Linked DNA regions of Struthio camelus. The protein of the gene in region 2 interacts with the protein of the main gene of each other region in a pairwise test. Links are inferred from orthologs where the notes say so. Each region holds a gene or a part of one and is shown on either strand. Other genes may lie near its edges.

Evidence for each region.
Region 1: the proteins of PACSIN1 (region 2) and COBLL1 interact in binary tests that used the Homo sapiens proteins (3 or more experiments, as listed by UniProt). The link is inferred for Struthio camelus from reciprocal best matches to the Homo sapiens genes PACSIN1 and COBLL1.
Region 3: the proteins of PACSIN1 (region 2) and EHBP1 interact in a two-hybrid assay, tested with the Homo sapiens proteins (2 studies listed by BioGRID and IntAct). The link is inferred for Struthio camelus from reciprocal best matches to the Homo sapiens genes PACSIN1 and EHBP1.

The regions. Positions count from the first base shown.
Region 1 is NC_090947.1:25,497,846-25,507,589, reverse strand, and holds the start of COBLL1 (cordon-bleu protein-like 1), read right to left. Parts: upstream 4,305-9,744; 5' UTR 4,119-4,304; coding exon 4,099-4,118; exon of another isoform or gene 3,999-4,098; intron 1,686-3,998; exon of another isoform or gene 1,603-1,685; intron 1-1,602.
Region 2 is NC_090965.1:5,557,446-5,567,189, forward strand, and holds the start of PACSIN1 (protein kinase C and casein kinase substrate in neurons protein 1), read right to left. Parts: upstream 4,534-9,744; 5' UTR 4,388-4,533; intron 527-4,387; exon of another isoform or gene 437-526; intron 1-436. UniProt on the Homo sapiens protein: Plays a role in the reorganization of the microtubule cytoskeleton via its interaction with MAPT; this decreases microtubule stability and inhibits MAPT-induced microtubule polymerization.
Region 3 is NC_090944.1:140,243,813-140,253,556, reverse strand, and holds the start of EHBP1 (EH domain-binding protein 1), read right to left. Parts: upstream 4,821-9,744; 5' UTR 4,666-4,820; intron 3,712-4,665; 5' UTR 3,655-3,711; intron 3,292-3,654; 5' UTR 3,176-3,291; intron 1-3,175. Other genes in the region: TMEM17 (transmembrane protein 17), read left to right, coding at 4,937-5,042, 7,983-8,086, 8,344-8,457, 8,866-9,171. UniProt on the Homo sapiens protein: May play a role in actin reorganization. Links clathrin-mediated endocytosis to the actin cytoskeleton. May act as Rab effector protein and play a role in vesicle trafficking.

The DNA.
Region 1 (9,744 bases), on a different chromosome or scaffold from region 2:
AAATCAGCACCTCTCCAAAGGAAGAGGTCTGAAGGCATGCACTTTCCACTCCCAAAGCTCAAAACCTACGAGAACCAGAAAAAGAACTAGAAGTTATTAAATATTAATGCAGTTCATGCCTGATACAAGCCTAGTAACAGTTCACTGCCATATGAATACCATATAGCCACATGAAACCATTAAGTTACTTGTCACTCAAAAAGTCAAGACAAAGTAAAACAGAAAAGGGGGTAGTTTACATCATCTACATGGTTAAAGAATATGTTATATAACTGTCTAAACACAAGAGCTAAAGAGACTCCCCAGCAGTAAGATACTTCCTTCTCTAATGCTGTAAAACATTGCCCATATTCATCTTAAAACACTATAGTTTTCTTAATCACAAACCTAAGGACTGGACAATTTCTGGTACATGAGAAAAAAGATACTTCAGAACGCTAAAACTGGTTCTGCATGTTTAAAGACCTTATGCTCTTTGCATTAGAAGACTTCCAGTTTTATTTTTTAAATAATTAACAGACCATAATCAGAAGTTTCAAAAGTGGAAACACTTCCTCCCACCCTCTTTCAACTTTAGATTAATAAATGACTGTTTGATACACAGTCTCTATCTAATTTCTTCTACTGTAAAAGCACCATAAGACCAAGGCCTGGAGCAAGGAGAGTCAAGTACTGTCCATCCTTAGGATAGGTTTACGATAGGTGTGTAGGACAATATAAAGGAAACATATTTGCTGTATCTGTTCCATAGGTAAATATGAGCACTCAGATTACTGAAAACTCATCAGCTTAACTGTTTGGGGAAGATTCTGAAGTTACATTGTATAGATAGGGTATCTAGTAGGTGGCTCAACAGCTGCCAAAAACAGTACAGAAGCATACTTCTAACTGCAGTTTCCAAGTGGAGGGAGAAACATGACAACGATCGCTCAATCTCCTGTGACACTGAGGTATATCATAGCGTACTTCTCTACAGATTCCCAGGCTGGCAGGAGAGCGATACTTCAAATTAATACTGCCTTTTTTTTTTTTTTTTTTTTTTTTTTTTTACATACAGTATAATATATAAGATGGTACTAGAAATGAGGGACTATGGTAAATGGTTCTCCTGTAACAAAAAAGTGTTTGGCAGCTGACTTTCAGTAATTAGGCTACAAGTGATATGATTAATGAACTGATCTTTGAAGATTATCTCTATGGGTTTACTCAGTGAGATTCCAGCAAAAACAGATCCTCTGCAGATGTTCTCCCATCTGTGCCTATATGCAGACGACTGCTATAATGAAAGCAAAAAATGGAAGTTATCTGTTTACCACTCTCCTTCCATAAATAAATTAGAGCAAGAAAAGGAGGCATCCCTGGAATCAAGACATGTTTTCAAATCCCTTGCTACAGAAAAGTTTTTTCCGATCAATTGGATGAAGAGAGGAAGAAGAAAAAAAGTTTTTTCCTAGAGAGAAATAAATCACAAAACCGGGACCGTAACCATGACAGGAAGGTGAAAGCTTAATGGAATCTTCGGACGTCTGGTTCACACTAAAAGCAAGAAAGCAACAAATGAATCCCTTAGTTTCCTCCAGACCATTTGGAACAGACACTTGCCTGTCTGATTATCTGTCCTCAAGGCAGTGGCAGTCTTGGAAACAGAAGAGACTGTATTCAAGGCATAATTCATGCTATGATTTCTTCTCTTACAAGGAAAAAGGGGAGATTCAGAGACAAAGTAGCTGCAAATCTATATGGTACGGTCATGTTTTCATTCATGGCTCTCGTAGCATTAAAGGGCAGCAAGTCCAGTATAAATTTATGTAGCCTAACTCCAGTACAAATTTAAACCTTTTCTAGAAAAACAAAAGTCAATCTTTGCCCTTAAAAGCCAAATCACACTTGCAAGTTACAATGACTTTTTCAAGTTCATTTAAACCGTGAACGACTACCCAGCTCTTCAGCAACAGATAGCTACTGACTTAGTGTTGCCTTACACCATCCAACAAAACAATTAGCTCCACTCTAATTGCCAGAATTGCCTTGCTGCTAGGAAGTTAGCCAAGAGCTCGTAATCCTAGCCTGCAACAGAGAATAAAAATATACTTTATGCTATGAATTAGCATAAAGTTTATTATTACTATTAAAAGATTAGAGAAACAGGTTCTGATACAAACATTCCTTTCTATCGCATTCTGTTGGCCCAAAATAAGCTTTTTTCTCATTTCTAAAAGAAAAAAAAAAGACAGAAGAGTGGAAAAAATTAGTTCCAACAACCTTACTTCTAGGAGCCTAAAAACTCTGACTTCTAAAGTAAATAGGGCTAACATAAAATTACAAACTTGGCATGTCATGTGCAATATACCTTTGTAGTGCAGATACTTGCATCTGTTAGCACTCCTTTCACAAGGTATCAAGTGCAGAAAATAACCTAAATTTACTAATAAGAGAAATTATAAAGAACTTGAATGACATTCAAAATTATTAAAACTTCATATGACTCACTTAGCCTTTATTATACCTACAGTCGTGAAAACAGCCTGACAGAACCGAGGGAGAGTAGGGAAGAGAAAATAGTAAATCTGTAACAGTGATTAAGCAATATATAACTGGCTGAATAAACAGGAAAAGAAAACAAAGAGCAGCTTGAACTGAAAGGGGGAGCTTAACCTTTGATACACTAATAAATCTAACAAATGCTTAAAACTCAAGAAAACCTGTTACCTCCACTAGAAACAAACCCACAAATCTTTTTTCAAGAACTTCTATAAAAGCATGTTCATACAGATATTTTTCTCCCATGACCAGTGAGGAAAGTTCAATTAAGGGCTCTCATACAGAGCAAAACCTAAATCTGCCCTTCTGGCTATTATCTCCCAGTCATGAAAGCAGGTATAACATCACTGACTTTTCAAAGCTGGCAGATGAAACACCTGGCTCTACTCATGGCTTTTATCGCTACTGCTCTGAACATCAATACAGCTAAGAATTGTCTGCTTATCTTAGCTTTTCTTCTGCCACTTTTCTCTTCTGTTTAAAATCATGCCTTAGAAGTAACACTGGAGGCAGGCACTGGATGGATTTGGAGGTTGAGAAAGGTAAGGAAAAGAAAAGCAGAGCCTCTCAGTATTACAGCAGGCAGAAAAGACTAACAGACCTCTCCCTTTTTCTTACATATAACACATGCCTCAAATGTAGGTAGGTGGGTGTAGGTGTGGATGGGTAATACAGATAAAATAATGCAGGACAGTAACTAGGGAGCTCTGCAGTAACAACAGGGAAGATAAATTTTACTCCCTGTAGAAGACTGCGTTCAGCACTCCAGTTTCCCAGCTGAAGATTCAGATATAAGAAGGGTAACAGAGCTAAGCACAGTGATATCATCTAATTTCTACTTTTCAGGCAAGTGTTCGGAAAAGAAAGGGCTTCCGAACGAGCCTTCCCTCGTTCCCCCATTCTGTCACTGTTTTTAGTTGTTTTATCTTTTAGCTACCTATAGTTCGGTAAAACTTCAAAATCCTTTGTACGTTTGCATGACCAAGAAACAGGAGGGTTTGCTAAAATGAAGAGGAGACATGATTATAGGCATAGGAAGGGACTAGGAAGCAGAGGAAGTTTTCTACTTTGAGCAAGAAGCTTTAACAAAAATTATAAAATTATACATTTGGTAAGTGACATGAGAGGAACTGACAGAAGAGGAGCAAGAGAGAGAGGTACTATGTAGACAGCCATGCAAGCAAACAAGGAAGCCTAATTCATTACAGGAAAGAAAAATGAAAGAAAAAAAGTTAAGTTCAGGCCAAGAAATTGTACCTAAGTAAGCTTTTTTTCCTTTAAACGAAATTGCAGAAGCATCTTAGCAGTTTCATTTTTCAATTTAGTTAATATTCACAAAGCTAGAACATTTCTCCCTGAGTCTGACCAACACGGCTTTACTTCTGCAAGCAGAAGTACCAAGTATCTCGGGCTAAAATCCTTTGCAAAATAACGAACAAACGCTTTTGAGCCCTAACCTTCCACCAGATTCTTCTGCTCATCTTCCACAGCTTTTTCCTTAACGCTCAATCCTCTCCCTGCGTCTTCCTCAGGAAGCAAAGTGGGAAACCCTCTTACCTTAAGGAACAAGGTAACATTTACCATCCCCTCAAACATCAGTGCTGCTACCGGCACCCAAGCCTGTCTTTGACCTCTTATTAATGGTGGCAGGGGGGAATAACCATTGATGCATGTACGAAGCACAGGCAGCTCTCCTGTAGCCCAGCTCTCTCGCAGCAGCAGGCCGCCTGGCAGCTTTCAGATGCACCTTTGGCACTGCTGACAGCAGAAGCCTCCCTCCCCTTTGTCCTACTTCAACTTAAACTCTCTCATTGGCTGGGGTGCAGGTCCCTGACCGAATGCTGCTATTCCCTCCCCAAATTCACCCCCAGCTGCACCTTCCCCACTCTCTTCCGCACACTGGAAATCCCCTAGATCCATTTCTGACTGGATTCTTCCAACAGACAAGAAGAGGATTTCACTTCAAAGAAAGCTGGCTCCCTGCATCACGGTGGGATGACAGCAAAGCTATTTTGGATTTCCCGTAACTACCACTAGAAAGCCTCTGTGCTTTCCGAAAAAGGGAATGAGACTTCTGCCGTTAACTACAAAGTGAGGAAAAAATTCTTTAGGAAAAGAAAGGGAGAAACGTATTTCCTACTAACCTTTTATAAGGAGTATAATCAGCAGCAGCAGCAGCCGCCTGCTCTGTGAAACGTAGAGAAACTTTCCTATACAACCATGCTAGCAAATAACTCGCTCTATTATGCTAGACTACTATATTCACCCCTTCTCATCCTTTCCAGCTTTACAATCAAAAGTTTACACCCGGTATTTTTCACTGCTGCTTTTTTTCAAACACTGTGATTCAATGCATGAAGTATAACGACTCTTACAAGAAGTTTAACTGAACAAGACTTCTTGACATTCTTTCGATGTTCCTGTAAACAAAGCGCATCTTGATATACACATATATAAAATATATGAAAAAATAAATAAATCTATTCAGAAATTACCATAACGTTTTAATGTGTTCCATGATAAATAAAAGTGCTTTACATTATAAAGCAATGAATACACAGTAAGGACTCTGCTGTATCAAAACACTTCAGGCATTGAATTTTTACAAATTATTACATTAAGCAAGTGCTTTTCTTCCAAACATAATTTGAGATCAAAATCAGATGAATGACAGTCAGAAAAGGCTTAGAGTCTCCATGAAATACATATTCTTCCTTTAAACTAATCTCACTTGAACGTCTAGGCTACGATCTGCAACCTAACAAAAAGTAGACCAGCCTCTATACTCAGAAGTAAGCCACTGAAATTCCAGCAGTCCATCTACACAGATAAGTTTACAGGTCTGTATTCACATTCATCTTTTGTGGCTCAAAGGGAATTAAAAAAAGCTTTTGTACCTTGACCGAATTATTTGTTTTCTCTGAAAATAAGACTACAGACTAATTCTTTTTCCTTTTATGGGCCTACGTTTAAGTTCTAGCAACTTACGTACTGTCCCAGCCCTGAACTCTGCCTCCTCTAAAACAGCAAAGACTTAAGTGCTGCTGAAGATATATAATTACAGCTAGATCTTTTTCCTCACAACGGGAGTTATGACAAGTTCAAATCAAATAAGCAAGGAAATACTGTGTAAATATCAAGACAGTCATCCGCAGTCTTGCAAAATATTTGTCATTTTACGTCAACCTATGTTTCCAGGATTCCCATTTACCTCAATCAGAACAGTTTTGTGGGTCGTTTTATCTGTATATATTAAATGAAATTGTTGCCAGTATGTTGTTCCCAAGAAAATATAAGCATTACTTGGAAGCCAGTTCTGCTGACCATCTGAACAATGAGAGAGGGAAGAGAAATAACTAAAATGGATTAAACTTACTCTCCAGCTTACCTCCAAGATAAGACAGGTTTCTCTTCTCCATCAAAATCAAGTGAATTTCTTTCAATAGCATACGTAGGTAGAGGGGATGGAGTAAGTGTATGCATGGTGAGTTCACTGTTGTTCCTTTCCTTTACTGGTGACATCAGTAAGCCTGCCTATTTATAATCCCACCACCTGACCAAACAACCTACACAGTACATCTAGAGATTTGTATAGTCATTAATCCTGACATGTCTACTTCAGCCAATTCAAGAGAGACTATTAAGGAGCTTTGTTATGTCTTCTGTGGCTTTATACCATAAAAAGAATCCAGTCCTGTTTTCCACGCCCCCTTTAATTTTGCAAAACAACTTTAATGGGATATTTTAGAATTAGGACTCTTTCTTCCTCCATGCTTTTCAGCCTCTCCTATTTCTTTGTAAGATGCTCCACTAAACACTTCAAATAAACAAGTTTTAGCAATCAGTTGAACACTTAGGCAGCAAAGGCAAATACACATTTTCATCCATTCAATTCGGACATCAGTACCACCTACAAAACTATTGAAGTGTCAGATCTCAATTATTCATTTTCAGAAACAAAACTATAGTATTTATGCTATCTGGAAAAAAACAACTTTACAGTGTCTGAAGAAAGATATCTTGCAGAAACTTGAGCCCATTGTCAAGAAAAAGTAACTCAAATGCAAGCTGCAAATAACTGGATGAAAAAAGAAAATCAAGTCTCAGTTCCGTTACCTTTTCTCAAAGTTAAACCTAACTTATATAGCAATGTGGAGCGCTTACATTTAAGCCTACCCAGGTACTTGGATGGAATACAGTCAGCAAACTCTTTGGGGCAAGCACTAATATCCACTGCAGCACCTTCTGGGAGGTTCCCATAATCAGGAGATGCTGCTTCTAGATTTGTATCAGGCCACATGGTGCTCTGAAGTGGCTCCTGTACCACCTCAGCCAGAGGCTAACATCTTAGGAGAATGTGTTTGCGCACAGAGTGAATAACTTTACTGACAGCTCCTTATCTAACCTGTTGCCTGAGAAATCCTATCACAGGCATCCATCACCACTATGCCAAGCAAAACAGATTAAGTCAGTTTTATCTAATACACTTAAGGTTAACTGAAACAATTTCTCAGTCTCTCTCAGCTCAATGGTTGGTTCTGTCCCAAATCAAGAACAGCCCGCACTCAAACTCAAGAGTTAACAGTGCTTAGACTGAACAAAAATTCCTTGAAATTTTAACTGCTTGAAAGGCTGAGGACAATGGTAGGCAGACCAAGCCAGACTTGCAGACTGAGACCACCAGTCGTGCAAATTTCAGTGCGAACAGGGTATTGATGCGGATTTTAGAATGCCAAAATATTCGCTATGGCCAATATGTTAAAAGATTCATGAATTCCTCTCGGAAGTAATAATTACCATCCCAGTCTAAAGGCTGCAGCTAGGAATAATTCAATTCATATTCAAATAAAACGTCTGATTTTTTTTTTTTTTTTAGTCCTACTGGTATCTGGTGGCAGTAATTAGCGTTTCCTTCTTTAAAGCTTTTGCATATAAAGCAACAAAATTATCACTATTGAAAACCACGTGGTTTTCACTCAGGGAGTCGCCAACACAATTTAAGACTATTCACTAGGTCATTAGAAGATCAGCATCTGTTTTATTTATAGTGCCAAATCAAAACACCTAATATAAAAATCCTGTGTGTATATGTTATATATTATCATTCATACTACTAATAACAAAACTACCAAGCATGCTTCATATAGTTGTGCTTCGGGTTTTTTAAATGGCTGTGCTAGTTGTGCTTAAGACGAGCAAGTGTCAGACACAACAGATAATCTGAAAGGGAAGAAAGAAGAAGTTTTCCATTTCTGTAAGCACGCACTTGGCTATTCCAGTACCTCTTAAAGAGGTTACATTTTCCCCCACCAATATCATTCAGCATAGGCTTTTCACACAAAACTTTAGAGATGACAAATCAGTATGAAAATACTACTAATATTTTTTCAGAAGCTCGCCAAAATACTAAGAATTTCAAAAGACCTGGAGAAAAAAAAGAACAGAGCTTAAAAGGGGCATTCAAATAAAATCTAAAGGGGAGGGTTACAATGGTTTTGTGTGAATGTCCTTAGGTCTAGAATTTTGAAGTGTTTCTCATTTCCATAAAATAGTCTACTCAAACTACTCGTCTTGGCACCTCTGTATCAGCAAGCATTCCCTAAAAAGGAAACATCAACTGACTACTATCACCAGCAGCAAAGGGGAATGCATATGAAAGATTCACAGACGCATAATTTATTGTATTTCTGGTGTACGTTTGCTTTAAAGGACATAACCAAGTTTTGCTAATTACGTTATGTTACTAAAAACAAAACATTTTCTGAAGAGGTCACATTTGTATAGATCACATATTTCTAATATAGAAGTTCCATGCTTTTTAATCTGCAGAACTGTTTCTGAGACCAAAAGTATATGAAGACTTGCATATTCTAATGAGAACAGCAAACAAAAGCTTCCCAATATTCATTTTTGTATCTCTAGTATCTTCAGATTCACTTCACTATGATGAGAAGAAGTTGAGTACTAAAGTATTTCTGTATGGGGAGAAAAGACAAAAGAATAAAACCCCTCGGAAGCCTAACAGTCTGTTAGAACTCAACTGTTGTAGATTAATTATCTGCATATGGAAAAGCTGATCAGAATTATTTTCTTCCCCTCCAATCTCCAATAGGGATGTATCTGTGCAGTTGGAAGCTCTTTGAACCATGGTCTCTATTGTTACAACCAGAAGAACGTCTGTTTAAAATATCTGATATTTCATCTAACCCTGAAATAATTTTTTGTTTCTTTTTTTAAAATAATATCCATGAGAAACTGAAGTCTGAAAGGAGCAAGAATAGCAGGAAACTTGGACTACTAGGGTAAGAATAGGCATTCTTCCAGATGAAATTCCTGCTTTATTAAATAATTTATTTCTCCAGTTGCCTTGTACCTATTGAGATGACATCTTGTCTGTGATGGATCAACATAGTCAAGTCTCCAGGGAAAGGTAAATACTTTTGTTGCATCAAAAAGAACTGGCGAAGAAGGAATAGACAGAGGCTTCCACATGGCTTGGAAGCAGACCAATAACTTGTTTTTCTTAGGCAAGTCACACATCAACAAGGAAAGCTGATTATAAATTGTACAATCACTCAACATTAATGGGGGGAGGGTAATTATTTTTCCATCACGTAGCATTTGGTTTAAGGATTTTACACAGCATCAATCTATTAGACAATTCCGTTGCATGTTCTCATTTCAATTACTTGAAATAGTTAGAAGGTAATAAATTGCAGAACTGCGGTACATTTAAGAACACATGAGCAGAGTCCAAAGGTCAATCTAACCCAGTATTACCAAAGAGCAGCTAAAAATGGGATGCCTAGGGAAGGAATCAGGACACACATTTGATATTTTCTCCACTACTTTCCAGGATCCAGTGTTTGCTGAGCGGGCACTTTCTGAGCCAGACTGTTTTTTTAGGTTTTTAATAAAACTTTTTGAAAAAAAGAAATCCAGTATATGGCCTATCTCCCCTTGAGCCCTCAGGCTTTTAGCATCCACGTCACCCAACGTTCAGTTTCACAGCACTAGTTGAAAACACACACACTTCCTCTTAGTTCCGAGTTTGCTACGATCTGTTAGATGTTCTCTAGCTCTTTATTGGAAAGGCCTGACAGACTGGTATGTTTCCATCCCTTCACAATGTTCGTGACTGCTTAAAACCATTGTATCATATGTGCAGGCTAGCAGAACGCTAACTTACATGGTTGTCCCTTT
Region 2 (9,744 bases):
GGTGCAAACCAATGCCATACTGCCTAGTCTTTGCGTGGCAGCCGTGCTGGGGACCTAAGCATCCTGCATCCTCATCCCCATCCCTGCAAGGGATCCCGGCATCCTGCATTCCCATCCCTGTCTGTGCAGTGGGCACAGGCATCCTGCATCCCTATCCCCATCCCTGCAAGGGAACCAGGCATCCTGCATTCCCATCACCATCCCTGCAAGGGATCCCGGCATCCTGCATCCCCATCCCCATCCGAGCAGTGGGCACAGGCATCCTGCATCCTCATCCCCATCCCTGCAAGGGATCCAGGCATCCTGCATCCCCATCCCTGTCTGTGCAGGGGGCACAGGCATCCTGCATCCCCATCACCATCCCTGCAAGGAACCCAGGTGTCTCGTGCTGCTTTCCAGGCTGCCCCGGCCAAGCCCCACAGGGGACGGTGCTTACCTGGGGCAGGCGGGTGCCCGGCAGATGGGGGTCCCGGCGTGGGCCCGCTGTGGGGCGCCGGGCACGGCGGGGCGGCCGCGCTGCGCTGCGCGCCGGCCGTGCAGCAGCGCCGTGCACGGGCCCGGGCACGCGCCCTGCCTGCAGCCTGCCCGTTGTCATGGCAACGGGGATGGAGCCGCTGCCTGCGCCGGTTGCAAACCTCATCCTGGCGGGGGGATAGTCCCCCCCCACCGTCTCCTGCCCCCAGCCCAGGGTCCCCCAGGCAGCGAGCCGGGCATGCGCTTGCTGCGTCCTGCACCCGGCCCTGGGTGCTGCTGTGGGTGCTGCCTCGCTGTCGGGCTCTGCAAGCCCCTTCCAGCTCCACCAAGGCCCTGCTGGAGACCCTCGCTAAGGCATGGTCCTAGTGTACCCGGTCTTGGGGTCGAGGTGCTCAGCACCCACCGACCAGGGCTGCCGCACTGCCTGCTGCAGCTTTCCCTTGCATTTAGGCTGCAAAGGGGCTGCTTTCTGCCCCAGGCTGCACTGCCAGGAGCCTCTCGGTAGAGCTGAATTAGGATCCCGAGGGTCCCGGCGCTCTGTGTGTCGGCCCGGGGGGTCCCAGCCCCTCGTGCACGGGCAGCAGAGCCCGCCGGGACTCAGCCGTGTGCCCCCCTGCTCTGAGTTGCTCTAATGCGCCGTTTCGGCATCATCCCCCGGCTCGACGGCGATGTGAGGGGAATTAAAAGGCAGCAGGAGACAAGAGCTTCGAGCTGAGTAATAGAAGCCGCCTTCAGCGGCTGCACTAATGAGGCTGCCTGGCTGCCCCGCGCCGCGGCCGCCCGGATCGGGTTGCCCAGAGGACGCAAGCCGGGTCCCGCGCGGCTCCACTGCCAGCTCGTCTTTCCTCTAACGAGCACTTTTGACTTGCTAATGAAGCTCGGTGGGGGCCCCCCCCCGGCCTCGGCACTCCCCAGCCCGGCTCCGAGCATCCACCGGGAGCCGGGGCCGGCTCGCTCCGGGTGCTTCACCCCAGCGCCTCCCTGGCGCCCTGCGCTGTCTGCGGCGGCGGACGGGCTCTGCGGGCGCCTGGCGGGGTTCGGGCGAGGTGGCGAATCCAGCCCGCTGAATCGGGCTCCTCGCCCCCCTTGCAGCCGCTGTGCCCTGGGGTTGGTTTTGCCACCCGGCACGTTTGGCAGAAGGAGCCACCTACCAGACCTGGCAAAGGCGGAGCAGAGACTTTTTGGGAAGAAGATTTGACGCCCCGACGGGCGATTCGTCTGCTGATGCCCCGAGCGGCGGGCAGCGCGCCGCAGGCCGCCGAGCCGGCACAGGGCCGGAGCGGGGACGTCCCGGCGGGCCGAGGGCAGCCCCCTGCCTTGCGGCTGCCTCTCTCGGTTGGCTGCAGCGCTTCGGCGTTGCAAAATCACCTCGGCTACAATTCCTGCAAAACGCCGGGTGATTTTCGCCTTTTGGTGCTTCAGGCCGTTAGACTCTCCGGCAAGAAAGCGGAGACGGGAGACTAATTGGGCAGCGGCGCCCTGACAAACGCCTCGGGGAGCTCTGCAGTCCTTGGGTGGCGCGAGCTGGCAGGTCTCAGCCGCCGCTCTCTGCACCGCCGCCTGCTGCGCGGGGGCATCAGGACGCGGAGGGGCGACCGCTCTGAGCATCGGGGCTCGGACGAGCTGAGCCACATCTCTTTGCCTGGCAGGCTCGCTCGCAGCTGGGGAGCCGCGTCTGCCCGGCTGCCGAGCTGGCGCTGGGCTCACGGGACGAGAGCCAGCCGCTTCTCCCCCAAAACCGCTTCCCCGACACGCTTTTCCCCCGGCTTTCACTATCCCACGGGTTACTATTTCCCCTCCTGCAAAATCAGCGCCCGCGTGGGAAGCAACAACCGACGCCGGCAGGAAACGAGGCCTGATTTAGGGGGCCGCTCGGCGGTCTACGATGACGCTTCTGCCAGCAGCGCGGCAAGGCGCTTCCCTCCCAGAGGAGCGCAGCAGAAGCGTCGCGGCGGCCGGAGGGGCCGAGAGGGGTCCCCGGCCGGCCCCCAGCCTTCCCGCTGCCGAGCTTCGCCCCCGCCGGCCGTGGGAAGCCAGGCGCGGGGCTATTTTGCATCTCTAATTAGCGGCGGCAGCGGCGGGCGAGCGCAGTCCTGCAGAAAGCGAGCCATTGTGCAGGGCCCCCCCCGCCGGCGCGGCGCAGGTGCCGCCACAAACCCGGCTCCCACCCAAACAATCCCCTTTTTGTCCGCTAACCGCCGGCCCCGGGGGTATCGTCGGAGCCCTTCCGGGGAAGGGGCAGGGGCCGCGCCACAAAGGCTCCATTTTCCCCTGGGAAAGCAGCTCGCGGCGCAGGGCGGAGAGGCGCCGAGGTATCGCCCCGGCCGGCCGGGCCCCGGCGGCACCTCGCTGTCCCCCGGCGCCTGCAGAGCTGCAGCAGCCACCCGGCTCGCTCCTAGGCCTCGCACAAACGTCGGGCGGGCCGGCCGCCTGGCGAGGGGACAAAGTCTCCCCGCGCGGGGCCAGCGCTGTTGGCAACGCCGCTGCCCCGGCAGGAGGAGCGGGAAGGACCTGCTCCGGGCTCCGCAGCAGAGGGACCGTCCTCGTGCTCGGGCGCGGGACCGACGGCCCCCGGGGGCTGCAGGGCCAGGCCGGCAGCAGCATCGCCGGGATCCCTGCAGCCGCTCGGAGCCGCCGGCGCTCGAGCTCCGAGGGTAGCGCGGAGGGTCGAGGCGGCTCGGAGAGGCGGCGGGAAGCGCCGGCTCTAATCCGTTTAGCAAAGCGCTTGCTTGGCCGTTCCCAAGGCGGGTGCAAGAGTGGTGCCGCGGGGCTGGCGGCTGCGGTGGGAATGGGGGGACGAGCCCGGCAAGAGGAGCCGTTTCGCCCCGGGGGGTGGCCGCAGTTAGGGCAGCATCTCCGGCTCTGCCCCCGCGACGTTTTGGCTGCCTCCCCCTGCCTCCCGGCTGTGCAAAGCGACAGCAAAGCCCCGACGGAGATGCCACCAGGCTGCCGGCCCCGCGCGCCCCGGCTGCACCAGCCTCCGGCTCGGCTGCCCCTCCGCAGCGCCGGGGCCCCCCGAAACCGGCCGGCGCGAGCCCTGCGCCCCTCGGGGCGTCCCCAGCAGCACGTGCGCACGGACCCCCTCCACCCCCTCCTGCGGGTGCAAAGCGGCCAGGAAGGATGGTGAAGCTCCCCCAGACCTTCTCATCTCGGCTCTCCGAGCCCCTCCGGAGCTCAGCCCCCGCCGCAGGTCGTCCCCTCTCGGAGACCCCGAGGAACCCCCCCACTCCCCCCCGGCGGCCCCCGCGGTGCTGGCCCAAGGCAGAGCCGTGCCGGGGCCGGGGCGCTGCCAGGGCCCTGCCGGAGGCTGGCACCCACCGGGGGGCCGGGGTCCCTCCGGGGGACGGATCAGCGTTTGGCCAACGTGTCCAGAGGGCGCTGGGGATGGGGGTTTGGGGCAGGGGGGCAGGATGCTGCGGCAGGCGACGCCGGAGAGGGATCAGGGAGGGGGCGCGAGGGGCGCGGGGGCTAGGCACGGCGGGGCACGCCGAGGGCTGGCGCTGCCCCCGCCGCGGGACCGCGAGGAGCCGGCTCGGCCCGCAGCAGCGCCTGGGAAGGGGGCCACGGCCCTTGGAAGGCCGCGCCGGGGTCCGGGCGCGGGACGCGGCGCTGCCCGCCGGCCGGGCGAGACGGCGCCGCCGGGGCGGCGGGGAGACGAGCGCAGCGGTCAGCTCGCTCGGCGCCGACGGCCACGACATCTGCGGGCCGTTCGGGCCCCGTTTTCGGCTTCCAGCTCTGTGTCATAGGTTCACGGAAAGCTTTAGGGACCCGGCTTCGGAGGGGGCCAGCTGGCGGGCTCCCAGCAGCGGGCCCTGCCCCCCGCCCCGGGGCCACCCGCTGCCTGCCGGCACCCCGGCCGCCCGTCGTCGCCTGCCCCGACCCCCCCGGGCGCCCGGGGACGGCGTGCCGGTACCTGCGCGGAGAGGCTGCGGGGACCATGGGCAGCGGCGAGGGGCGCCCACCGGGGTGGCCCGGGCGCCCGGGCAGCTGGCAGGCAAGGCCGGTTGGCTCCGTCTCGCTCCGGCTGGCGCTGCACATTGGAAGGAAGGTCACAGCAGATGGGGAGGAGGGGGGTAAAGATCAGCACGGAGATTAGAGAGGCATTTTTAGCCAGCCAATCGCCGCCCCGGCTCGGCGCAATGACTCCTTCGCAGCGCAAGGTGAAAACATTACTGCAGAAGCAGCAAGGAATAAGCCTGGAGCCCGGCTTGGCCTGGCCAGGCGGAGGCAGCTGTGGCGTCCCGCTGCCTATACCCCCCGGCTCGTCTCTCCTTCATTTCCTTGCTCTTTTTTTTTTTCCCCCCTTGCAAGCTTTTATTTGCAGCCTCCTTCCCTGCTCCTCTCCCTCTGCTCTCCTAGCCAGCCCCTGGCACCCCGGGGCTGATTTGGGGGGTCCCCGCACTGCAAAGCCCCGCGGGGTCCAGCCGGGGCAGTTTGCAGGGCACAGCAGCCCTCTCCCCGCTGCCGCCCGCGGGAGCCCGGCCCCGGCTCTGGCATTTCCATCTCCGAATCAGGCAGGAGGAGCGCCGGCGTGGGAGAGGAGGACGCCGCGGCGCCCCGGGGCGCCTGGACGCCGTCCCCGGCGGGCGGCCGTGCTTGGCCCACAGGGCAGCGCGGGCAGTGCCGGGGGCGAAGGCAGCAGGTCGCCCTAGGAGGGACGAGCCGCTTGCAGCGAGCGCAGGTGCACGGCGGCTCCGTGCCTGCATCGGGTACGAAAGCACTGTGTTTCGCCGGACCTGCTTCAAGGAAAAAAAAAGGAAGGTTTTTTTTTTTTCCTCCGAAGCGCAGCCAGCTGCTCTCAGCTCCTCCTAACGACAGAAGGGCCCCGAGCCCGGAGGTGCGCAGAGCAGGTTTCTCTCCAGCACGTGTTGGAGTCCAGGGAGGTTGCGCTCCTTGGAGCAAGGTGCAGGAAACAGCCAGTCTGGCACTGCCCAGCTTCTGGGTCAGCCTGTCCCAAGCGTTTGCGGGTCGCAAAAGCCGCGCGGCACCCAGCGGACGCACAGAGCCCGAATCGCAGTGTGAACGCGCCGACACCGTGGGGAGCTCTGCAGGCTCCTTGCAGCGGTGCCGGGAGCCCGCAGCAGGAGCCGGGAGGGAGGCAAGCGCTGTGCCCCGCTGCTTTCTGCTGCTCCGCGGGGTCTGATCAGCTCCATGTCAGCCCAAAGCGACAGGGAGGCAGGGGTCCGGCGGCACAACGGGGAGTGGGTAGACGTACATACACACGCAGATGGAAAGATAAAAGGCAAGCGTGCCCTGTGCTGCAACCAGTGCAGGACGGGAAGGAAAAGACCTTTTCCTTATTCCTGCCCCAGTCAAAAAATTACAGGGGCTGAGCCTTTCACGGAAAGGGCCTCGTCCCGTCCTGCTGAAGATGCGAAAGGACCAGAGAGGATAGAGAAGAGGATGCGGCGTCTCCACCCCGTCCCAGGGACGGCTCAGTGCCGGTGCAGAGGTTGCCGAGCTGGGCTGCGGGTGGCCCAGCTGCCCTCAGATCTCCTGGCTGGGGTAATCCGGGGTGCAAAAGGGTCTTTGCACGCCTTCAACAAGCCCCAAGCCCTTTGCTCGAGCACGTGAGCCAGGTCAGGGAGCAGCGGCAGCTCTCCTCGGCAGACCTGCGTGTGCGTCCCACGTTTTCCCCACACCTGCAAGACCCATCCTGCCCCCAGGATCCCAGCCAGGGCTTTACAGCCCGGCTCCAAAGGGCATCGCAGGTGTGTCGCTTCCTCCTCACCTTCGGCTCTTCCCTGCACCACCTGCAGGAAACAGCAGGGCTTATTGCAAGCGCAGGGCCACCGCAGGCCTTCCCGCAGCGATGCTGTGATGCAGTGCTAGGCACCATCCCGGGCTTGCCGGGACGGCAGTGGCTGTCCTGCAGTCAGAGCAGACAAGCAAGAGCTTGGAGATTCCCCAGGAGGTGTGCGCATCGGGTGCTCCCCTTGCCTGCCTTGCTCTCTCCTCCCTGTGAAAAGAGGCAACGCTCCGCTCCGCTCCGTCGGCTGTCTGTGCTCAGGAACACCTGCAGAGGGCTTGGGGATGCTCGCGCGGACAGCATCTCGCCTACGCTGAGGGGTGGTTTGCGATTCGCTGCGGCGCTGCCTTCCCTGCTAAAACCTATTCTTGCTGGCTTCCCCTCGCGGCTTCCCCGTCCCAGCGCTGCCCTTGTTCCTGCTGCCGTTTCGCTCCCAGGACCGATGGCAAAAGCAGCCGAGCCAACGCCGAGAGCGTCTGGAGACCCCGGCGCCGCGCCGGGCGGACGCGATAGGGATGTCTGCGTGCGGGGCAGGGGCGGCGGGGCAGGGACCCGCGGCCAGCGCCCTGGCCGGAGCGGGGCTGGCAACGCGCCCCCAGGACGCTAATCCCCGCCAGGGTGTGCAGGATGATCCCAGCAATCTGCCTCCACCGTGAGAAAAGGAGTCGGCACTGCAAATCCCATCAGGCCCAGACACGTGTGACCGCGGGGGTCCCCGTGGGCCAAGCTGAAGAAGGAAAAGGTGCCGCTTCTTTTCGGATGCCGCAGCAGAAACACGTAGCAGCATGCGGAGCTGCCACGCACCGTCGTTCCTCCCTGACCTGATTTAAAAACGGTGATTTGAGGGTTTTCCCAAACTCTTGAGATGTCAAAACGCTCTGCGGAGACCCACGGGCTGCATTTTACGGGGTCCAGCAGCCGCTGGGACGTGAAGCTTCGTGCTTGTTGCTTTCCGGGGCCGGGGTTGCCAGGGCTGGGAGAGCAGCGCCAGGCCCTGCGGGCGGCATCGCTAGCAGCCGCTGGGAAAGGGACCCTCGTGATGGCATTTCCCACGCACGGGCTGCTGCCGGGGGAAGGCGAGCGAGCCGCGACGCAGCTGGTCTCCAAGGCCCTTTCCGGGCCGGAGCTGCTCGGCGGGAAGGTCCTCGCCGCGAGGCAGCGCGCCGGCGTGCACCGTCTGGCGAGGCAGCAGCTGGCCGGTGCGAGGACCTGGGGGCAGCAGCCCCCCCCCAAGGCACGGGCTGTATTTCTTTACTTGCTCGATGAAATATTTAAAGGCTCCGTTAAATGAAGCCCTGCCTGGTTTTGCTGGGGAAGAGCTGTTTCTGTGCCGGGAGGCTCTTCGCTCGGGCACCCCGCGGAGGGGGATCAGAAAACTTCCCGCAGCCCTATATCCAGGGCAGGTTTTTGAGGAGGGAGATTTGGGAAGACGAAAAAGGGGGCAAGCCCCTGACCGCCCCGGCTGCCCCCTCGCGCCAGCGGGCTGTGGGGGATCCCCGGGTAAGGCGGCGGTGGAGAGACGGCGATCAGGATTTGGGGCGTTTGGCGCAGATTTGGAGGAGGGGGGAGCGGGGGCGGCTCGCCCACGCTGGCATCGCCCGCGAGCCTGCGTCCGTCCGGCCCTGGCGCGCCGGGCACGGCTCGTCATCCGGATAACAGCAGCTCCCTCTAGCGCTGCTGCCGGCCCCGGGTGGCCAGCCTGCGCGGGGACGCGCGCCCCGGGTTTCTCCAGCCGGCAGACCTGAGGGCAGCCGGGGCACCCGTGGCCTTGCCCGCTCCATGCACTGAGCGCCCCAGGCCTCTGCTGCCCAGCGTGCGGGGCCGAGCGGGGCCCTGCGAAGCGCAGAGGGGACGGACGTCCCCTCCCTCTGCCGGTGCCTGGCTCTGCTTCCTAGAGCAATAACGGGATAACGGGCCGGGATAACGAGCTGGGATAACGCGCTGCCTTCCTGCCAGCCACCTCCGCCCCTTCTCTGTCGCGGCGACCTGAGGCCTGGAGGCAGGCGGCCGCTCCGCTGCCCGGGGGCGACAAGCGCAGGCCGAGCCCAGGGCTTCGCCGCCGCCGCCGCCGCCGCGCTCCTCTCTCCTCGTTTCACGTGGAGGAAATCGGCGCACCCGTTATCGGGACGGGACGGCGGCTGGCGAAGCCGGGGCAGGCGGGGAACATCAGAAACGCCCTCCTGTGCCAACGCGCCCCCAGCTCTGCCCCCCCCCCGCCCCAAATGCACAAAACGCCGGTTTGGCCCCCAAAAGAGGAGTGCGGTTCGCTCCACGCGGGCTAGGCCTCGCGCCGTGCTGCCCTCTGGGCGTCAGGGGCGAAGGGAGGAAGGGCTGGGGAACGCGGGGGGATCGCGTGGGGCAGCGTGGCGGGGAGGGCCCGGGGGAGCAGGCGGCTCTCCGCGGCCAAACCGGCCCCGCGGGAAGGGGGCGCGTTTCCAAACAGGCACCGCCGCGGACACCCCGCTGCCCGGCGCGGCGGGGGCCTCGGCGCGCCTCCCTCAGGCACCGCCGCGGCCACCCGCCGCGCCGGGGGGGCCTTTCGGAGGCCGGAAGCCGGCGCTCTGCGCATGCGCCCTCCTTTCCGCTCTCGGGCCCGCCGCCGCCGCCACGGTGAGGCCGCGCTCCGGGCTCGCATCGGCCTCGGTTCGGCGCCATCCCGGGGCGGCGCTGCGGGGCCGCCGCTGGGCAGCGGTGGGACCGCCGCGGCCCGGCCCCCCACGGGCGTATTTCCGGGCTGGGGGGAGCCCAGGCCCCTGTCTGCGGGGCGGGAGCGGCTAGGCCGCAGGGGGGGGCCCCGGGGGGGACCGTTACCGGAGGGCCAGGCCTGGGCCGGGGCTCCGGGGCCTGGGCCGAGGCGGCTGCTGGGGCGGCACCCGGGTCCTGCCTGGTCCAGCCGGGGCGGGCGGGCGGCTGCTGCTGCTCGGTAGCTCCGTGCCGCTGCCAGCACCGGGAGCTCTGCCGCTTTCCTCTCCGCGGGAGCGGGGAGGAGCTGCCGGGCCCGGAGCGGCAGGAAGCGTCGCCGGGGTTGAGGTGTCGCCAGCCGGGGGTGCAGTCGCTGTGGGGTTGCGCTGGGCCCTGTGCGAAGCGGGTGTGCTGCCCGGCGGCCCCGTGCCCGTCCCTGACCGGGGCACTTGAGAGGATTCCTCTCCTCCGGGGCAGTAAGGGCAAGTTAGCAACAGCAGCGGGGGAAGTGTCGTCGGGTGCCGAGGATCTAAGGTGTAGCCGAAGCAGGCAACGCTCTGAGCTGTGTCCTTGCCCCGTGCTGGTCAGCTCCTGTCTCTGTTCTGTCTGACTGGCATTAGACAGTTCACAGTCTTTACTACAGCTGTGTGGCCTCAGTTTAGCCTTAAAGAGCAAAACTTGGGACTGCTCTGTTTTTCTCCCCAGTAAACACCCAGTAAAGCAAAGGGAAAGCACAGGCAAGATCTCACATATTCAAATCTAGCTCGGAAAGATCTTCTGGGAGACAGTTACGTGCATGGTTTTACCTAACATTAGGCTTTTCATATAGATTTAGCAGT
Region 3 (9,744 bases), on a different chromosome or scaffold from region 2:
AACTACAAAGGGCTGCAAAGCCACTCTAGAGCCGAGGCAGGTTTTTCACTGCACATTTCTGCACAAAGAGACCAGCGCAGCTATTCCGACTGCATATCGAATGAAACCTGCTTTGCTGAGAATTACCGACAGCCCCCACCACCTTGCTCTGCACCTCCTGAAAGATTAAGTCTGAAGCCTGAATTCTGGCACTTGGGAGAGGAGAGGCACAGAAAGCCCAGTCGTGCCAAGACTTGCAGGTGTGAATGGGGCAGAATTTATCTCCCGTAAAGTCTGGAAGCAGAGTGAGCATCCGTTTGCTGACAAAGCTTATGATCAGAAAAATGAAACCTGAATTTCACATGTCAGTCTGACTGACAGCGTTATAACATGGCCTTTGCTGGCTATTCCAGAGCCACCTTTGGAAAAGAAGGGGCCTCTCTGCACCAGTCGGGTCACACAGAAAAGCTTTCAGTGGCACGTCAATGACAACAGACGTTTGTGTAAGTGAGAATATGGCTCAAAATTCATCCATTTACAGTACCTCCTTCTGTACCATATAGTCCTTTAGTACTTCTGCAAAACAAACAGTAAAACTGGTTTAACAGCAGCACCAGCTTTGAGTTTCCCAACGTGCTTTATAAAACTAAAAATCGCCAAAACAAAACAAGCTAGGAAACGGTTTTAACTAAATGCCAAGTACAGCAAGAAGAAAATCAATTCATGGGAGCAAGTAATAGCTTTTTTTTCCCTACTGTCTTTATGCTTAAGACTAAAATAGCCAAGATATATTTAATGCATGGAAGGACTGCAGCTATATATAATGCTTGAAATAGGGGCCTCCAATAGGTCTCATCAGCAGCAATAATTGTTTACCAGACACAAAAATCCTCTAGGTGTTAAACGAACACCAGGGAGTAGCATTCAAGTGACATGGAGAAAAGATTGTCCTAGGGTACCGCAAGCCAGGCGCACAGCTGTGAAATTGCTCTGGCAGACACTGTCACAGCTAATAACGTGATCCTTTCAAACACAGAGAGTCCTCATGGCATTTGTAATTTGTTAAAATTCCCAATCTGTCACTTCTTTCTGAGAACAGAAGGAGAAAACAAGCCTATACTCTGCTTGTCTGTGCATACCTCTGTTCACCAGCACTTTTTACATGTTTTACAGGATTTCTATTAAAACACTGGGCAGGTATTAAAGGGCAAGCAAAGGGAAGAATGATTTCTGTTGCTTGCATGCTTATAGCTATCTAAGGGGCAGTAGCGCAGGCATGCCAGGGAAAACAACATTTGTGAGATTCCAAACCAGCACATTCAGAAATACAGCAATTGCGATTCAGGTGGAAAGATAAACCATTGGCACCATTTAAATGAACTCTGTGTTTCTGAAATGCCAGCTGTAAAAAACTGCTGATATTTAATTTCGTTAGATATACTGCATCTGGTGTTTATGGCTTAGTGCTGTTGCCAGAGAGCCCCAGGAGCTTCGGTCTGGGAGCCAAGCCAGTGTCTACCAACTTAGTTGGACTACTGTGGATACACAAAGATCCAATATTCCTCTGATTTAAAGCTTTCAGGCAGATTTTCAGTGACTTTTGTTTTATTTATAGTTAGCATGTGCCGAGAGAAATAAAACAGTCACTTAATATGCTGCACAACTATGGGTTTATTTCCTCCAGTTTCTCATTTCAGTAGCTTATTTTGAAGCCTGGAGAACTGGAAATCTGTCTATTTCTACCTTAAGCACTCATAGGTGGATAGACACAAAGGAATTCAGTAACGGAATGCCTTTCCGTTAAAAAATAAAAAGCCAATATACAACTTTATTATAAAACTTGGATACTTACACTATTTATACAGATGGCCATCATAACTGTTATAGTCACACACGGCTAAGCGTTTTTCTTTCTGTCACCCCTTATAGCATATATTTATAAGCTTCTGTTATATGAAGCTTTGATTTATCAATGCAGATACCCTGGTGTTCTGATACTTAAAGGGTTTCAGATTATTTTCTGCTTGAAACTGCTCCCTAAAAAACCCTAAAAAAAAAAATCAGAGGAATTCTGTTCATTACATTGACAATAAATGCACGACTCAGCCTGAAGAAAATTAAGCAGGATTAGCAAAACAAAAAGCATATTCCGTCTTCAGGGAGTATTTTAAGCGTCTGAGCGGACACCAAAACACGAAATAAAAATGTGCACAATTTTATTTTGCGGGGACGTGTGGAATGCTCGGCCATCTGCTATAAACGTGAGGCTGCCAAATATCACAGATTCACACCTTGAGTTTGGAAATTGAGTTCACATGGCAAATCCAGGCATTTCTTGTGGTATCTGCATTCCATCAGCCTTTCCTTTACCTGCTACTCAGTTTCACACTTCACTGACTGTTAAGCTGGATTGCTTCACAGTTTTGAAAGTGCAGAGCCCAATTTTACCAAGTTCCATTGACTGCCATAGAGCTGCTCACAGGACACCCGACTGTATGCTTCATAGGTTTTCAGAATGGGGGAACGTAAGAAAATCAGTTTGGGAGATCAGGGCCCCTGCTCAAAGCCACTGGCAACAGGAAAGGAACAACACTGTGCATTCTAGGAAAAATTCCTCCTTCCATTCTGAAAAAGTAATCAAGAGGAAAATCCTTAAAGGCTGAACTTTAACAGGCCACCAGCTTATACTATGAAAAACCCTGCAACTTCCATGAAGATCTTCCTTAATCAAAACCCAACCACGCTTTTAATTCATATACACCTGTTCCTTGGGTGTAATTAACTGAGAATATGGGAATAGTGCACCCCTAATCGGAAGGGTGTGAAATAGATTAGGACCAAGGCAACAACAATAAAACAGGGTTTCAGGCAACTTGATTAGAAATCTTGCACGGATTCATCATCTTGCCACTGTCTATAGCACAACTTTACAGCAAGAGGTGCAAGATGATGCAAAAAGCACTCAAAAATCATTTGTTGAGTCTGGTAGGAAACCTGTTTCTAGCACCTACTGGCAACTGGCAAAATAACAAATACAGATTGCATTTCTTAAACGTTCAGCAACCTACCTAACACTTTTTTTCCACGTTGCCGTAAATGTTAAAGAGAGCTTTAAACCCTTCTAGTACTGTACTTGGTAGTCAGCTAATTAGCAGGCACACAGGCACAGATTTTAGTCATTGAAACTATGGTATACCTCCAGTGCCTTCACAGCTCTGAGCTTTGGGGTCCATGTCTGGCTGGGACACAAGACTGTTGGTATGTCTACTCCATCAAATAGGCCAGCTCACTCAGGCACCATTGTCAGTATGCCTACAATAAGACAGAGCTCAAAGTCAGATACAGTCAGGTCAAAGGAGCTGGACAAATACTCATTTTGCCTTTGCTAGATTATTTCCCTGCAGAGCTGTCCTAGCAGCAAACCTGAGCTAGCTAGCTCAAGGCTAGTCCAGGCAGCCTTGCTGAGCTGTGGTCAGTGCTGTACAGACAGAGCTACATTATCTTTTTTCTTTTGTTATTTTGTAAGGAATATCTTACATTTAATAGCATATCTGCCTTCTTGTGCCCAGGACCTGTTTTAAGTTTTGCATCCCTTTCTGTAGGATTCAACAGAAACTGCATACAGCATTGCACAGGATTAAGCTTCTGTTTTGTCTTATCTGTAGCATCACCTACCTTTTAAGCTTCATTTTCTAGGAGTACTTCCACAGCAAAGCCTGCTGCCTTCCTTGCCTGTTAGGGGACATGCACAGCATCCCTTGAAATTCTGGGATCCTTCCAGAATTCTGGATTCCTCGAGACCCTTCTCCCCTCCAACCTGCGGCAATTATTTAAAAATCACTTCACCTCTTCTGAAGGACCCAAGTTTTTTATGTAGGTCCCTGCTGGCATACATCTGTTTGGGGAAGCTCTTTGAAAAGTATCTGTTGTGAATACTACATCATTCATCAGCACTAAACCAAACGTATTTCTCAGAACTCATGTTTTTCATCTGTCTCTGGGGTTCTCCCAGTGGAATAGGGCAAAATTAAATTTAAACTAGGCTTTAAATTATTTAGTCAGAGATAATTGAGCTTGGAAAGTCATACTAGAGAATGAGCACCCAGGGAAGTAGCTAAATATGATTTTTGGAAGGAGAAGGGAAGGGAGTCGCCACGTCACATTAGGTACATAAAAATCACAAAAGTTCAAAAGTTATCAGCCCTCGTAGGAAAGGGCACAAGTTGCTCTTTTGTTCTGGTCAGGCAGAACATAATTTCCTCCAGGCTTACAAAACGCATCCTTTCTCCTCAGAAGGAGCCAGGCCCTAAGTGTTCTGAAAAATCCTGGTGACAGATTACAGCATTATTAGGGTTCAGGCACAAAGTACCTATACGTTCAAAATAAAACAAGAGCTTTTCTTACTGCCCAGGAAGACTTCCTATAAGGCATAAAAGCTAACTGGAATTAAAAGGCTCTGCTGATATCACCACTACTTTTAACTCAGCTGTGCCACAAACAGGTTTCTTCGAGGAAAGGATATTTTCTAGCTGAGTTTTACCTCGATCTATCATAAAACCAACGCTGTATGATAGCCACTCAAAACAATACCCACTCTGAGGAATTAAATAGCTCCAACAATGTCCACCCTTACTCCACTTCTCCCTCCCTAGTTATCACTGAACACTACGGATCCCCTGAATTTACCCTCATAGAGATGGAAAACAGCCCTGCTCAGGAGGGAAGCAACCGCCTGCTGAAACAACCTTTTGTAACCGTGATTTAAAAAAAAAAAAACAAATTAATAATAATAATAACGAGCCGTGCCCAAACAAACTAGAAAAAACATATCCACCCACACGCCAGCGCCTCCCCCCGCCGAGCGCCGTCCTGAGGCGGCCAACGGACGCGCCGCCGGCCCCACTGCGCCTGCGCGCCGCCCCGTCGCCACAGTAACGGCGGGCCGCGGCGCCGCAGCATGTCGCTGCCCGAGCCCCTGAGGAGGCGGCTCGGCTCCTTTAGCCGCACTGTCTTTATCGACAGCAGCCGCCGCAGCGGCCCGCAGTCCCCGGGCAACAGCGCAGGTAAGGGCGGTGGCGGCTGGCCGGGCGTCGTGCCAGCGACAGACATGGCGGCGGGGGACAGCGCCCGCCGAGGGAACGGTGCCGAGGCGCGCGGGGGAGGGGAGGGGCTTGCCAGGAATAAAGATGGCGGCACCAGCCGACGCCTAGAGGCCGTTGGGGCGGGGCCGCGCGCCCACGGCCGTTACGCGGTGTCTCCGCTCTCCTGAGGGAGGGCCGGCGCGGGCCTGGCGGTCTCTACGTGGTCTCTGGTTTCGCTGTCGATGATGTAGTGTAACTTAATGGGTGTTTTCTGGAGTAAAACAACAGCGGCCGTAATCTTTCCCCCTGCACTTAACGTGCTTCAGTGGCGCAGGGTTAAGACTGGCTTCCCGGGCACTTAAAATATTAAATGCGCAACAGTCTGATTTAAAAGCAGCTCCGCACGACCCTCTGCACCCACCTTTACAGCTCAATAAGCGAGTCGGCATAAAATATGACCGATAAAAGACACCAATACTACACACTGTACACTCCACCTATACGAAATTAAAACGTAGTAATGATTTTATAGAGAACCTTGAGAACAAATAAAAGACGGGAGCTATTGTTTTAAGCCCAATAGTCCTACGCAGAGTTAGGACACCCACCGGACGCTCAGAGCAGAAGGAGACGAACCAAGCAAAAACCCAGACCTTCAACCTTCTTCTTGCAGCTCTTACCAATAAGGACCGATAGCTTCGTCACCTTGCTAGTGAAACCTGCAGGATGATAAAATAAAGCAAAAAGCTATTATTATTTCAAGAGAACCCATTTTGTTTGTGTCGTTAGACCGGTCTATCTATAGTGCTAGCACTTCCTCGTTTAGCCAGATCAATTCCTAATTACAGCTACCAAGCACCACTGAGACGCTTTTCTTAACTCCAGGAATAGCTTCTTATTTTAATCATTTATTTTACCTTTTCTTTCTTGAAAACTCCTACATGAATGTCCAGCCCATTGAAACCAATGGTAAATAGACCATTAACCTCTTTGAGGTCCTGTTTTTGAATCTTAAGTCTACACATACATACTTTAGTGAGTTGCCCTGGTGCCAAGGGGCCACTGGGTTACTGTCTGGCATTTCCACATATTTTTACAATCCCAAAAAGTAAACAGTAGTTCGATTTAGGTGTAGAAAGATGAATTAGACTTGGCTTATATTGCTAAACATTCATCCAAAACACAGTCTTAAAACTTGAGAAGAAGTTACCAGTATGCATGCCTTGTCACTAAGACCTAAAAGTACCCAAAACATTCTCACTGGCTTTTTTTGAATAACATTACATTTTCATCTAATGGGACAGAAACACAGTTGGTTATAATTAGATAGTCTGATTTTTTGAAAGATAAAACAGTGTTTTAGAATTGCATCTCAGTGCCTCTACAATCCATGGTTAGTACCCTAGATCTGGTATTTAGGGATTCATTCATTAGAACAGCTGACAGTTCCTCGGACAAATTTAGGTAGACAGTAAAACTGCTTTGAGGTACCTATAGATTTTCATTCCATGCAGATGTAGGAGAGTGTTGATATTTAAAAATGGGATTATTAAAAATATTGGTTGTCTTGCACCTTCTGTTTCAGTATAGCAAATCCTCGCCCATCAAACCCTACCCTTAAGGTTTGTCCCAGTTCTGTCCCCAAATCCTCCTCCCTTCCCACCTAGCCCAGTAGCTACCATGAACACTTCTGCAACTGGCATAAAGACTTCTGGAACAGACTGTACCAGGCTGCATGTGGTGGAACGGGGAACAGGGATGACAGACTGAGATGGAACAAAGACAGGTATGAGAATGGTTGGAAGATATGACAAGAGATGGCATTATCAGAAGAGAGGTGGTTCTGAAGTCAAAGGTGAACAAAACATGGCTGATAATCTGAGTTTCAATTGAATATCACCATGGTGGCACGCTGGGGCACGGGACTTAGATACAAAACAGCAGGTCCAGAGCAGCAGCTCACAATGAAATCTTTCTAAACTTGCTCAGGTAGTACCAAGTGAAGATTTGTCTGCAAACTGCATTTAGGGAAAACGTGAGAAAAGAGACTGTTGGTAATTGAAGTAAATTGCATGCGACATCGGTTAACTAGACTGTGGCAATAAAACTTAGTCCATTAAAAACAAACAATTCTCTTGGGATGCCCTGGTAAGTTTTTCTTTGTTTGAGTTTAATCTTCTAAATCTATGGCTAAGTCCTAATTTTAGAATTTACAGCCTGCCTAGTGTTATGCAGTTCAATATTTTTTTCTTTGCATTGTGTCAACTTATCCTTTAAAGTCTGGAGAGACGGAAATAAGTTTGAGTTTGATACGTATGACGAACTGTTAGCTCCAAAGAAGTAAAAGAATTACTGTCATCTTGCAGTGTCACTGTGTATTCAAATGTCTATCTTAAATAAAGATTCAAAATGGAGAGTGGGCATTGCAAACCTGCTCTCTAGCAGCAAGTCTGTACCCAGGAGGGTCAGATACAAAACGAGAATAAGCCATAAGTGTATTCATTTAAACTTGGGACATTTTCTTAGAGAACAAAAATAAAATTGGCACTTACTATTTCTACAATGTCAGGATACACTACTACTTGAACAAAGCCTATCAATTTAGTTCAGAGACTGTTGATTAGCTGGTGGCTTATGATTTACTCCACAGTCAAACACTTGATTTGAATTTATAACTAAGGGATCAAAATTCTATATCCTGTGAACTGAAAGTTACATTAGATCCTGGGAAATGGTGTAACCCAAAATAGGGCAGAGTTTTTCCTCTGGGTCTCTGAAAATGCCATTCTTAATATTTAATTTACCTAAGATCAGTGCTAATGCCCTGCCTGAAGCTAAGATGGAGCAGTATCTTTCTGCCACACGTAGTGAAGGTACATCTGGAACAAACTAGAAGTGATAAAGACTTCTTTCTATCTACAGATAATGAAATCATTTCAAGTTTACCACTGCAGATGTCCCTCTATTTCAACGTTTATTTTTTCCCACTGTGGTGGCTCAGCACTGTTGTCATGCTCCAGCTGAAGGTGAGTCCAGAAGGAAAGTAACGGTTGACAGATTTAATACGTTTCTGATTGGACACCTCCTAGTACAGAGGTGGAGCTCATTGGAGTTAGAGCTTAGTAGGCTCGTGCGGGAATTGCTTGAAATTGGAGGTTCTGAGAGCATTTGAAAGCCAATACAACACTGTCAACTTACAGTGGCATTCAGTGTCTTCATTTAACCAAAGACAGCGCATTGTGAAACGGCATGGTAGAAACTTGTACTCTCTTCCTCCCTCTAGTATCCAGTCTTGTCAGATTACTACAAGTTCATTGTGGTCACAGTCATCATCCTAGCCTCTCTGATAGAGGTCATCCGGCTCTACCTAGGATACATGGGCAATCTCCAGGAGAAGGTATGTTACCTTACATCCATATTAATTTGTACAGGAGAACTTGGGGTTGAATATAAATAAAACGGTCTGTCAGTTCCTCTAAGAGATTTAAGGTGAGGAGATGGTTATTTCTGTCAGTTACAGTCTGCATCTTTCATCTCCCTGGCTTTTGCTTCCCTTAACTTTTGTGCATTCCAGAAAGTTTTCCCTCAGAAAGGAGACCTCCTGCCTACCAAAACTGTTTTGTCAGGAAAATAAGTATTGTTAAAAACACTGTATATGGAAACGTTAAACTACCTCACTTCACCATTTCACATTGTGTGCTGGCTTTTGAAAGATAAAAGTGTGGATTTTATCCACAAAGTTTTGTATTATTTTCTACTGCTTCTGCCAGTTTTTAGGTAACTAACTGATGTTTTCCTGTTGTAGGTCCCTGAGCTGGCTGGGTTTTGGCTCCTGAGTCTTCTCCTGCAGTTGCCTATAATTCTCTTCTTGCTGTTCAATGAAGGTCTGAAAATCCAGCCACTGGAACGAGCAGTCAATATCATCTTTGCTCTCTTCCTCACCTTCCAAGTCATTGCAGCTTTTCTCACCCTGAAAAAAATGGTAAACCAACTGGCTACTCACTTCCGCCTCAATGAGTTTGACCGGCTGGAGGAACACCCTGTACCTGATTTTTACAGCCTAGGAAAAGAAGAGAGTGCATTCCCCATGGCTGCTAGGGGCCCGTATTGAGGAGGTTCTCCCAATAAGTGTCGACTGGGGACCTGCAGTGAGGGCCTGAGAAGTTACCTGAGGAATGCCTCATGCTGCTGCAGCTCCATTTCCATTTTTTGAGTCGTTCTTGACCTTTCTATTTCAGAGACATTAAAAAAAAGAAACAGATTTTGCTTAACAGCCAACATAGCCAACCACAAAGATCTGAGCTCCACTCTGCAAGAAAAATGGAAGCCTATTATATAACTAGTCAAGTTGACTGATTTATTTGCAGACTGTTACTGGGTAGAGCACTTACGGAATAGATTTGGTAGTTTTTACATTTTACAAAGCCATGTGCTGTGTTTAAAAAAAATCCAGAACTATTTGCACAGTTTTTTATTTTTAAACAATAAATATTTTTATACACTTTTTTCCTGCTGCTATCAATTTCTCTCTGTCCTTCCAGATATGTTATACATATTTGATCTCTGGTGCCAATCTTAGTGAAAGAAAAAAAAAACCCAACCAACCACCACAGCCAAGAAATCTTGAGGCCCAGCAAGAACGGTAGAGATGCCAATGACGACAGGAAACAACAGAGTTTTAGAG